3 linked regions of the Schizosaccharomyces pombe genome follow. The gene in region 1 interacts genetically with each later gene. Each region holds a gene or a part of one and is shown on either strand. Other genes may lie near its edges. The genes, in order: smn1, acp1 and pex13.

Evidence for each region.
Region 2: of smn1 (region 1) and acp1, a mutation in one rescues a mutant of the other (synthetic rescue), as found in Schizosaccharomyces pombe (one study listed by BioGRID).
Region 3: of smn1 (region 1) and pex13, a mutation in one rescues a mutant of the other (synthetic rescue), as found in Schizosaccharomyces pombe (one study listed by BioGRID).

Annotation. Positions count from the first base shown.
Region 1 is NC_003424.3:821,533-824,735, forward strand, and holds smn1 (SMN complex subunit Smn1/Gem1), read right to left. Parts: upstream 1,423-3,203; 5' UTR 1,318-1,422; coding exon 957-1,317; exon of another isoform or gene 898-956; coding exon 800-897; 3' UTR 560-799; downstream 1-559. Other genes in the region: protein phosphatase PP2C catalytic subunit Ptc3, read right to left, coding at 1-172; SPOM_SPAC2G11.09 (Ca(2+) transporter), read left to right, coding at 2,207-2,252, 2,362-3,203. UniProt on the Schizosaccharomyces pombe protein: The SMN complex catalyzes the assembly of small nuclear ribonucleoproteins (snRNPs), the building blocks of the spliceosome, and thereby plays an important role in the splicing of cellular pre-mRNAs.
Region 2 is NC_003424.3:4,583,446-4,587,130, reverse strand, and holds acp1 (F-actin-capping protein alpha subunit), read right to left. Parts: upstream 1,917-3,685; 5' UTR 1,877-1,916; coding exon 1,807-1,876; intron 1,761-1,806; coding exon 1,567-1,760; intron 1,503-1,566; coding exon 996-1,502; 3' UTR 595-995; downstream 1-594. Other genes in the region: til1 (tRNA(Ile)-lysidine synthetase family protein), read left to right, coding at 1-547; succinate dehydrogenase subunit Emi5, read left to right, coding at 2,106-2,398, 2,455-2,581; peptidase Icp55, read right to left, coding at 2,798-2,968, 3,013-3,120, 3,170-3,391, 3,435-3,512, 3,574-3,685. UniProt on the Schizosaccharomyces pombe protein: F-actin-capping proteins bind in a Ca(2+)-independent manner to the fast growing ends of actin filaments (barbed end) thereby blocking the exchange of subunits at these ends.
Region 3 is NC_003424.3:2,083,308-2,086,972, reverse strand, and holds pex13 (peroxin 13), read right to left. Parts: upstream 1,864-3,665; 5' UTR 1,726-1,863; coding exon 859-1,725; 3' UTR 540-858; downstream 1-539. Other genes in the region: calnexin Cnx1, read left to right, coding at 1-358; lysine methyltransferase Set8, read right to left, coding at 2,165-3,454. UniProt on the Schizosaccharomyces pombe protein: Component of the PEX13-PEX14 docking complex, a translocon channel that specifically mediates the import of peroxisomal cargo proteins bound to PEX5 receptor.

The sequences.
Region 1 (3,203 bases):
AAAAGTCGACCGGGTCTTTTACTGCAGAGCACTCCATTGAAAGTATAGCAGAATGAGCATCTTCCATTGAGATACGCCATCCTTGCATGCTTGAAAGTCCATAAAGGACGAACTCATTGCTCCCGTTCACCGAGTGCTTCTCGGTGACTGGCTCTGATAATGTCTGACCCATTGACAGCTCTTGCTAATAGATGACACAAATTTTCACGTTTTCTTTTTGTGTCGCTTCAAAACGGGTTATGTAGTAGTGATAGGTAAATCGCTAGTAGGTGGTGGAGCTTGTCGGAGGGAGTGTTGTGGCACCCTCTACAACTACATCACCACCGTGGAGACGAACGATAGTTGTTAAAAGACTATGGAAGGTAACAAGATTAGCAGTAGTCAAGGCATATATGTAAACAACAGAATAAATGGTATCAAGGACTAAATACTTATAAATTTCAAATGTTCATTAAAAAACATGTGTAAACATAGCATATCCTATAAATTGATTTTTCAATGGTTTGCATTTTACTATGACTACAATAGAGACAAAAACAACGCTGAGTAGAATGCCCCAACAAATTCAGCAACTTGATTCAGAAAAAATTTCTATTAGGCAAAAATGATATTATTTTGATTCAATTAAAAATTCCATTGGATTTAATAAATGACCAAATAAATTCTACTTATTAGAAAGAAAATTGAAATAGAACTATTTGATAGGAGTAATAAATCTTAGCAATAGCAAGTAGGATAACAGTTTTATAACAACATCAACAATGAAGATATACATAACTTTGAAAAATAGCACAAGAAGCTAATCTTTACGTTGCTCACTTTTAGCAAGTCCTTCAGCTAAACCTGTATAGTAGCCCGCATAGTACCAGCTCATGATAAGCTTTTTGTAAGTCTCGTCTAAATCATTATGTTAATAATAGAGAGTCATAAATTTTCTTAGAAGACCTTTTACTTACCATATGTTAACCCTCTTATAGGGGGAGGAACTTCCATAAACTCTTGATGTGTCTCTGCTGCCCTTGTTTCAGGCTTTTCGTCGCTAAGGCCTTTATTATCTGCAAACTGTTGGATATGTGTATCTCCTTCCAATGTCGTCTCTGTTTGCTGATTTATCATCTGCTCACCTTCTTCTAGCTTACTTATTGATTCTTCTGTCCGTGCAGCTGAAATTAATTTTTCACCATCTAGCCTAGAATCCGGGTCCGATACTCCTCCCTTTGCTTCAATACTATGATACTTTTTGAATTCATGTAAAGCGGTTTCAAAGGCATTTCTGAGCTCTGAATCATCCCACACTTCTTTTTGGCTCTGGTCCATTTTTGGTACAAGTTGTAGATAATCTATTCCTGTATGTCTTTCTTTGTACCTTAAGAAAGCTTTATTAACAAGTAGTTTCCAACTTTGTTAACTCTTATATTAATTGAATATTATTAAAGTGAAAATATTGTTTATAAAGCACAACGCGTATAACGATAAACAGTTTGAGCTCGGCGATTCCGCTTACTACAACAATTATAATCTGCTGTGGTAACTTAGCTCCTTGCCTTAACTATCAGCCGCCTTAGTGGACAGGACTACAAGAATTCGAGGTCAAAGATATAACGAGGTTCGCACATGGCGATGTGAACTCGTGGAAGTATTGTGAAAGAATGTTTATTCCAATTCATCTTTGTTTACGATTTTGGCTTTATTATACCAAAAAGAAAAAGGAATTGTATAAGCTACAAAAATCAACCTAAATCAGTTATCTAATATCCACACGAATAATTCATTAAATGCTACATGCGCTAATATGGTTTAGCGAGGACTTCTCAGTAAGTTAGCTTTCTGGGATAGATTTTAAACTACCTAATTGAATTTAAGGTAGCTCCACGTAATTACGTTACATATTTTTATGCATCGTCATCTTAATTTACGTTAAGTACATATCGCATTCTGAAAGACCATGCGAATGGGTATTGGATGAGTATCGTTCTACTATCCCTCCTCTACATACATTCATATTTTAAAGATTTTCGTTCATGAAAAACTATCATAACATATTTCAATAGTGTATCTTTTGATAATTTCCTTTTTCCGTTACTTTTTACATGCATATAATACTTGGATAGATCAGATTTTTCTTGTTCTCGATTTTCTGAAACGATCGTTCATTCATTCCTCGATAATTTGACGAAAGGACCCTTAAGTTTGCTACTTTGCAATAATGGCTTTCAATGGATATGGTATTTTCGACAGTGATCCTAGAAAAAGTAAGTATACCTATCCTTCCCTCATTTGTAACAAAATTGCTAACGTTGTTTGAATCTTCGATCTGCGGGTGTTAATTCCTACAGATTCGAGATTCATCGCTGAAAACAGATCCATCGAGCGATTTAAGAACTCAATTTTGGCTCGCCTTTTTACTTGGAGCCTCTGCATGCGTATTCTTTTGCTTCTTTCGTAAAAGATGGAAAGTACTATATGCCCCTAGAACTACCATTGAAGGTCTCAATTTACCTACACTTTCTTCATCGTACTACAAATGGTTAATGGATTTAGTAAACATCCCTGATGATGTAGTGCAAAATTGTGCTGGTTTGGACGGCTACGTTTTTTTATTGTTTTTTAAAATGGGTATAAAATTCCTTTCTTTTGCTTCCCTGCTTGGCGTTTTGATTATTATGCCCGTCAATAAGCATTTTCGTGGAGATGCATTCGGGAATATTACTTTGTCGATGCCTGCCAAATCTGAATATTTCTTCTCAAGTCCACTTGTCAAGAAGTCAATTGTACAATCTCCTATTATTGCTAATGGTAGTGAGTTAAATGTTGGTGTGTTAGGACCTTCTTTATTTAATCCAATTGGTAATTTATCTGATATACCAGGTCTTCCACAGCCTGGTGATGGATTTCTCTATCTTTACGTTCTTTTTACTTACTTTATTTCCATTTTTCTTCTTTATGTTCTTTTTTCCTCAACAAAATCGATTGCTGACATTCGTCAATCATATCTGGCTCGTCAAAATAGATTGACGGACAGAACCGTTTTTATATCTGGTTTACCTAATGAACTTTGTTCAACGGAAAATTTAAAAGCATATTTTGATAAATTAGATGTGGGTTCTATAGACAGTTTAAGTATATGCCGAAATTACTCATACATGGATATATTACTGTCTAAAAAAAGTAAATACGTCAAGAAATTAGAAAAATATTGGTCT
Region 2 (3,685 bases), 3.8 Mb from region 1:
AAATGAGCTCAAAAAGCACTCTAATCTTACTAAGGAAGAATTGCTCTTAAGGTGTCTAACATTGACTACAAGTTGCAGACAGATTAAACGATCTTCTGTTGTAAGCCTTTGTAATTCAGTTTTTGATGGAAAAAAGCTAACAATTGCTAAATGTCTACTCACTTCCTCTTCTATAAAGGACGACACTAAATTACAACTCCAAATTTCCAGACAACCATTTAGTAAAGCTGAATTGAAAAAAAAAACTATAACCATAAATCCTGATCGTTATGTTTTATGGGATCACAGGTTTTGGATAAAGTACAGTTGCAAAAATACACAGACTACACTTATACTTAGACCGTTGCTTTCCAAAGATCTAAATTCATTGAAGGGATTTTTGAGTAAGGAAGAGTTTCTTAAATTTTGTATACAAGTTCCGGGCCATATCAGGTTTACTATTCCAGTCTTGTCGGAAGAAAACGATAAGTTAGTTGGAATACCTACTTTTGGGTTTAATTTTAGAAGTGATATTATCTCAAACTGTCTACACAAGTTCAAGCTTTAATTGCTGCTTGAACCATGAAATCAATGTTAATTAGAGATACAAGATTTGTGATTTAATAATGCCTCATTATTTATTTATATTATCACAAAGTCAGAGGTGAAAGTCAGATGCTCAGAGCATATTCTGGTGATAAATAGCACGACTGATGCTTACACACAAAAAGTAATACGCCCTTAAATTACTGGTGACGAGCGGTAAAAAAATGATGAAGAACTTGTATTATTGATCGTAAAAAAATAATTTCCTAAAACTTATAAGAGTTTAAGAAAAGAGCGTGTGAGTTGCTCTTGTAAAGTTTTAGAAAGTAAACGACTAGTAATTATTAGTCGTATATCGAGCGACAATGTATATGTATTTAGGAAGAAGGAAAAGGAAACAGCTTGAATCACCGTCTTAAAAAATATCGTCGCAAAAAAATTTCCAAAATTTATAAACACATATAAGTGTTTCAAGTATTTCTCATACGGATGCCACTAACGTTTTCCCAATTAATTTTCTGGCGAGTGACTGGAAGTTGACGACGCAATTCTTTAAACTTTTTGTCATTAAGTGAAGAAAGTTCAACGTTGAAGGACTGTTGAATTCCATTTTCGACTTGAGCCAACACTTCATAAAGCTTACTGGTCTCCTCGACTGTAGCAGAAATAGGACGGGATGCATCCAACCAAACATTTCCGTCTTCATAGTAATGAACACGAATATGCGACCTGCCTTCCAGTTTCTTTTCCGAAACGTTGTAATTGCATATACAGCGCCACGAACCGTTCCAATAGTTCTTGGGATTATACTTTGAAGAAACCAAAACAATTGTAAACGATTCCACTTCATCGCTTTTTTTGATGATTCCAAATGTTACATCAGATAGATAGTGATCCGAAGCAACCTTTTTAATTTGCTTTACTATTTCATCGGGAATTTTTATGGCTTCGGTATAATCTTCAACGTTTTCAGCTTCCTATGAATACTGTTAGCTATTTAACAATTATCACAAAAAAAAGATTTGAAAAATTTAACCTTACCATAGTTTCATAATTAATGGTAAATGATTTCTGTAAAACTTGATCATAATAGCGATTGCCCTCTAGACGATTATCAGCTGAAATAATTACTTTTTCGTCATCCGATATGCTGACAGAAGAGTTGTAGTCTTCATGATAAAGCTTCAGTTGTTCGTGAATTGCTTCCTCATCACTTAGACCGATGTCGCGTATATCTATTATATGCATTAGAATGTTGAGGTATTCAGCACTTTAACAAACCATGAACTACTTGATTAACTTCTCCTGGAGGAGATTCTCTAATGAGTTTGTAAATTGCCTCCTTTTCCATCTTTCGAAATTTCTATAATGTGGTGCGGACAATGGTGAATGGTAAGAAACGAATACGGATGGTGAAGACAATGCCGCAAAACTATCACCAAAGAGTTGTATAGTCTACCAAATCTTCCAAAAAAAGGAGCTATAACCTAATTTTTTTTTCTTTTTATTCATATATAAGTAAATATAGCCTCGGAGGTCGTCTGGTTAATCGCTTAGTTGTTCATTTGAAAATATCAACAATGTTAAGGAAGACAAACTTATCTAATATCACGACGCTTCTAAGAAGTGCAAGATGTATGAATAGAATGCCTCAACTTCGCTTCGAGCATACCAAAGGTGATTTAAAAAGGGTGAATCGCTCTTACGAGACTAGAGACGCAATGTTGGCAAGACTTAAATATCAATCTAGAAAACGGGGAATATTGGAAACGGATTTGCTTTTATCTAATTTCGCCAAAGATCAGATTGATAAATATCCAGTATCTCTTCTGCGAGAGTATGATCAATTATTAGATGAGCCCGATTGGGATATGTAAGTAAATGAACTTGATATACTTAATGTGCGCTATTTTAACGTCCAATTTTTAGTCTATACTGGTGTTCAGGAGAAAGGGAAGCACCTGAAAAGTGGAAATCGAGTCAAGTCTTCAAGGAATTGAGCAAATACTGTCGAAGTCAGAGGAATCATACACTTCGAATGCCAGAACTATTTTGAAAACGTTTCTTGTTTCTCTAAACTAATGTTTATTTTTGACGTTGACTTTTCAATAAAATATTAAAAAAAAATTCGTGTAATGATTAAAATTTAACAGTATATATAGATTTTTTTCCCTTCAATCTTACTTCTAAGAAACTTAGTCCAAAAATAATGTCTTTTATTCTACGATAGTCAGATGTAGTCCTAATTCTTAGTCAATAGGTAACACAATCTCTACTTTTTCAAAGCTTCAATTTCTTCAATTTCTTTTGGAGCAGCACTAGTTAATACGAACGGCTTGTCATCACCAACGATTACGCTATCTTCAATTCGAATAGCTATTCCTTGAGCCCATTGAGGCCATCCGTCTTCTTCTGGAACATATAGTCCGGGTTCTATGGTAATCTAAACCCCGTTTAGCAAATAATCTGAAAAGAACTTCAACTTACAACTTGGTTTTTGCGCAACGGTTGGTAACCATTATTCGTAGAACAATCGTGAATCTCTAGTCCAATCTCATGCCCAATTGAATGCGGATACAATATATCTGTAATCTCCTATAGCCAAGGAAGTTAGTACGAATATTTTGCGAAGTAGCAAACTTACCCGTTTAGTTCCATGAATGCCGACCTGCTTCAATTCTTCATGCATTAATTTAACACTTTCAAAGTGAATATCAGCCAAGCTCCAGCCATTACTGGTGCAACAATACTTAATACATTTCTTTTGCACATTCAGAACTGCTTGATATAAATCCCTTTGTACAGTACTAAATTTGCCGTTGATGGGCCAAGTCCTCGAGATATCTGTTACATAACCACCGAATTCCTGTTAAGCAAGTGTTAATTGACAAAAAATTGAAGGCACTTACACCGCCAGCGTCTACCAAAACCATTTCGTCAGGACGGAATATATCATTATTAATTGTGTAATGGATAGTCAAGCCATTCTTCTTTGTTAATAAAGCTTAAAGTAATAGCATTCAGCATTTTCAGGAATTGATTACTTACTTTTCCACCTGCTACTACAGGCACATATGCGGATCTATCACAGCCTCCAATACAAAACCGATAATTGAATTCCGCGGACATTTCAGCTTCTTTCTCAAATCTTTTCCGCATA
Region 3 (3,665 bases), 1.3 Mb from region 1:
AATGCATGTTGACGAAGAGTCTAATCAAATTCTTGAGAAGTTTCTTGACGTATATGATATTATTAAAGCTAAACTTCCTCCAAATGTTGCCGAAAAAGTTGACTACTATGTTGAAACCATCATCGAGACTCCTGAAATTGGGATTGCAATTGTTGCCGTTCTTGGCTCTTTAACCGCTGTTATTCTTACTTGTTACTTTTATTTCTTTGCTTCCTCTTCCCCGGCTTCTTTATCTACTGGAACTACGGAAGCTGAGAAAGAGCAGCAAGAGAAGTTTAAGCAAGAGACTGAGACTGAGAAGATAGACGTTTCTTACGCTCCCGAAACTGAATCACCAACTGCGAAGAATGAAGACTAATGAAACTGCTAAAATGTCAAAAGTTTTTCTTATTTTAAGAATCGCATAGAAGTTGCAATAAACTACTTCCTGTTCCTTTGTGGACTTTTGACTGAAGTAAATGAATATATCAATATATATACTCACTAATACAGCATATTTTGTTTACAAAGTTTGACTCAAAGTAGCGACTCTGTTAAAAGCCTTAGTCTAATTATAAAATACTTGAAAATGTTTTCTCTAGTTCTTATTATGAGTAATATCAATAAATAGACTATGAATTTATAAATCGTGGGTAGTACTATCAAAAAACTTTTTACAACTGCGCATTAGTCGTCAGAGAGAAATGATCAGGCATTTCCCATAAACAAGTGCAAGTAATGCGTGAAATTCTGCAATCAAGAGAAAGGATGTTTGTCTACATATCTTGTGAGAATAGTAGAATAAATTGTCAAACTAAAAAGTTCGTTTACTATACGGGATTCAGACATTTTATTGTCCTCAAACAAAATATCGTAACGTTACCTTGAAATGATTGAACAATAATTTGAAGGAAACCACCCAGTCTCGCCAGATCTCTTTCTTCCTTGCCACCATTCGCAAGGATTACCTTGGGTGTCTGTTTTAGATAGAATTGCTATGATATCTCCTTTTTTTAAAGACATTTCCACTCCCGGATCTCTGGACATAAACTCATAATCAGCCTTGCAAAACTCAAGACTATCAATTTTTTTTCTGATTTTTGCTTGTTGAATCTGTTTTTCTTTTTCATAAATATTTTTGAATAACCTAATTATTGCATAAGGTAAGCCCACCAACCCAAGAATAATTGCCAAGCTACTGACAATTGAATATATTGAATTTTTATGGTTTCCTTCCTCCTTCTCAAATACATCATATTCTTGTGAATTCATTTCATCGATTTTAGAATGCTTGAAGAACTTTAAAACTAGGCGTTTAAGCCGCGACAACAATGAAACAATACCAAATATTGCACCAATAGACGATTTTAGTTTGTTCAGATTTTCACTCACAGAAACAAATGTATTATAACTCATGTGAGCAGCCATTAAAGTAGACTCAAGGACCTGAGCTATACTTCCAACGGCACCTACAATAGATTCAATGACCTGCAGTGATGATATAGGTCCGTTCCCTGGTAAATTGGTTTCCAAAGGGACAAATGGATTAAAGGAAGGAATGAAGGAGTTAAAACCCGAGTATGGATTGAATCCCATATTGTAGTAGTTAGGATTAACAATCCGATTTGCCAAGGGATGCTGAGTAACGCCTTGATTCGTATCAGCATTTGAGTTGCTTACAGACATAATTCCTCCAGCAGGATAAGAAGGTAGACTTGGTCCTTTTTCATTTTGATTTGTTTCCATAGTTAAATCTCAATAAGCTAGATGCGTCCTTGGCAAATATTCTAATAAATCAAAAAGTTGTAGGATGAGTCCTTCGTAAATACGCTGCACGAGCTATTAAATAGGAACTAGGTCGCTTTATGTCAAAGTTGTCGGTGTGGTAGAATACATAGTCCGAAATAGTATTAATGGTAGTCCAATCTGAATACTAACGCCTTAGAATACAGGAAACTGGTATCAATACTACAATTGAAAATTTCCTAATATTTAATAGCATAATCAAAATAGATACTTATTTTTTTCACAATTACTGATTAATTTATTTGGTATGGATATATTACGGATATTATATTATTATACACGATTAGTCATTCCAAATTAAGAGATTTGTAGAGTATTCATCACATACTAAATATTTTCTTTTTTTTTTTAAATAAATAACTTTTTATGCATGGTCGATTCATGACTCAATGGTCTGGCTATGGATGAATTCCACCACAACTTTGGACTTAAGGAGCTTTGAAATAACGTCTCTAAGATATAAAAGGACTTTCTTAAGTAAGAAACTTTCACGCTTTAAAAGCTCTACCGATTCTGAACGTCGTTCGGTTGGATTGTACATATTCTCAATGTTTGTATTTAGGGCAGCATCCGCTAATTGTTCAGCGAGACAAAAAACACGTAAAATATACAAATCTCTTTTAGGAGATAATTGTACAAGCTTTGGCAAATCTTCAACTGAGCATTTTTGACCTTCAAATTCCCAGTCAACTGTTTGAGCTTTTGATTCATCACACACCATTTTGAAGTTTGTAAAGTCTTCAACATTAAGTACAGAAAAAAAAAGAAATGGAGCATGCCACCATAATTCCCCAGATGAATCAGAAACAAATTCAATCATGGGGGGAGTTTTACAAGATCTCCTTTTAGCAAGATCAAGCGAGTCATTAGAATCCTCGGGAATCAAGAGTTTCATAACATTTGTAATCCGATCGCCCTCAGGTTCAGGTAAAAAACCATAAGAAAATAAAAACTCAGCAGAACCTTTTTCACTTCCATAGTTTATCGTAACTTCTTCATTTTCATCAATGTCCTTGTCAAGATAGAGCTGCATAGCATCTTCCGAAAATGACCATTTTGCATTAGACTTAGAGGAGTGATTACATAAATCAATCACAGGAGCTAAAACTGGATCTTTAAAGGGACTTTCAAGGCACCTACTGTGAAACAAAGCATCAGCATGAACCCATTTTGGGAGTGTTATTTTACTAGGCCAGGAATCAGAATACCGCTGGTTTAATGAAAGCCACTCTTGTTGTAAAATTTTTCTCTTGACACAAACTGGATTAAAAATCGAAGTGCCTTGGAGGCTGTAGACTTCTTTTTCGGGCCATTGTGCAGGCGTATTGATAGATAAAGGAAGAACCGTTAAAAACTTATCCCACTTGTTGGTTCGGGGTTGAATACCGAGCCATAAATAGCAAAGAAATAACATAGCCTGAGTTCTGAAACTCATATCGTTCCATTCCTCAAGCGTTGCGATTGAAGCGAATTTATCACAAGAATTTCGAAATTGTTCAACTGTTTTGCGGCATATTATATTTTCAAGTGGAACCTCTAAAAGAACAGTTCCAGAAGTATACCTATTCAAAGAAAAAATTCCATTGCCTTTCTTTCGTATTTTTTTTATAGTAATTTGTTTTGCTCCCGGCGCAAATTGGTTGACCAACTCATTGTATTTGATATCCATTGACTTGATTTTCTCAGTCTTAAGCCAAAACAACGACGGAAAACTTAACAATAAAATGTATTTAATCGAGTTGAAATTTATTGGTTGTTTATTAATAACTCCACGACTTTTCTAAGTCAATAGCAACGAAAATACCCTGTCCCTAGAGAAACAACCGAAGCGACATTAACTTTCGGTAACTCGAACCCAACCCTATATGAACAAAAATACG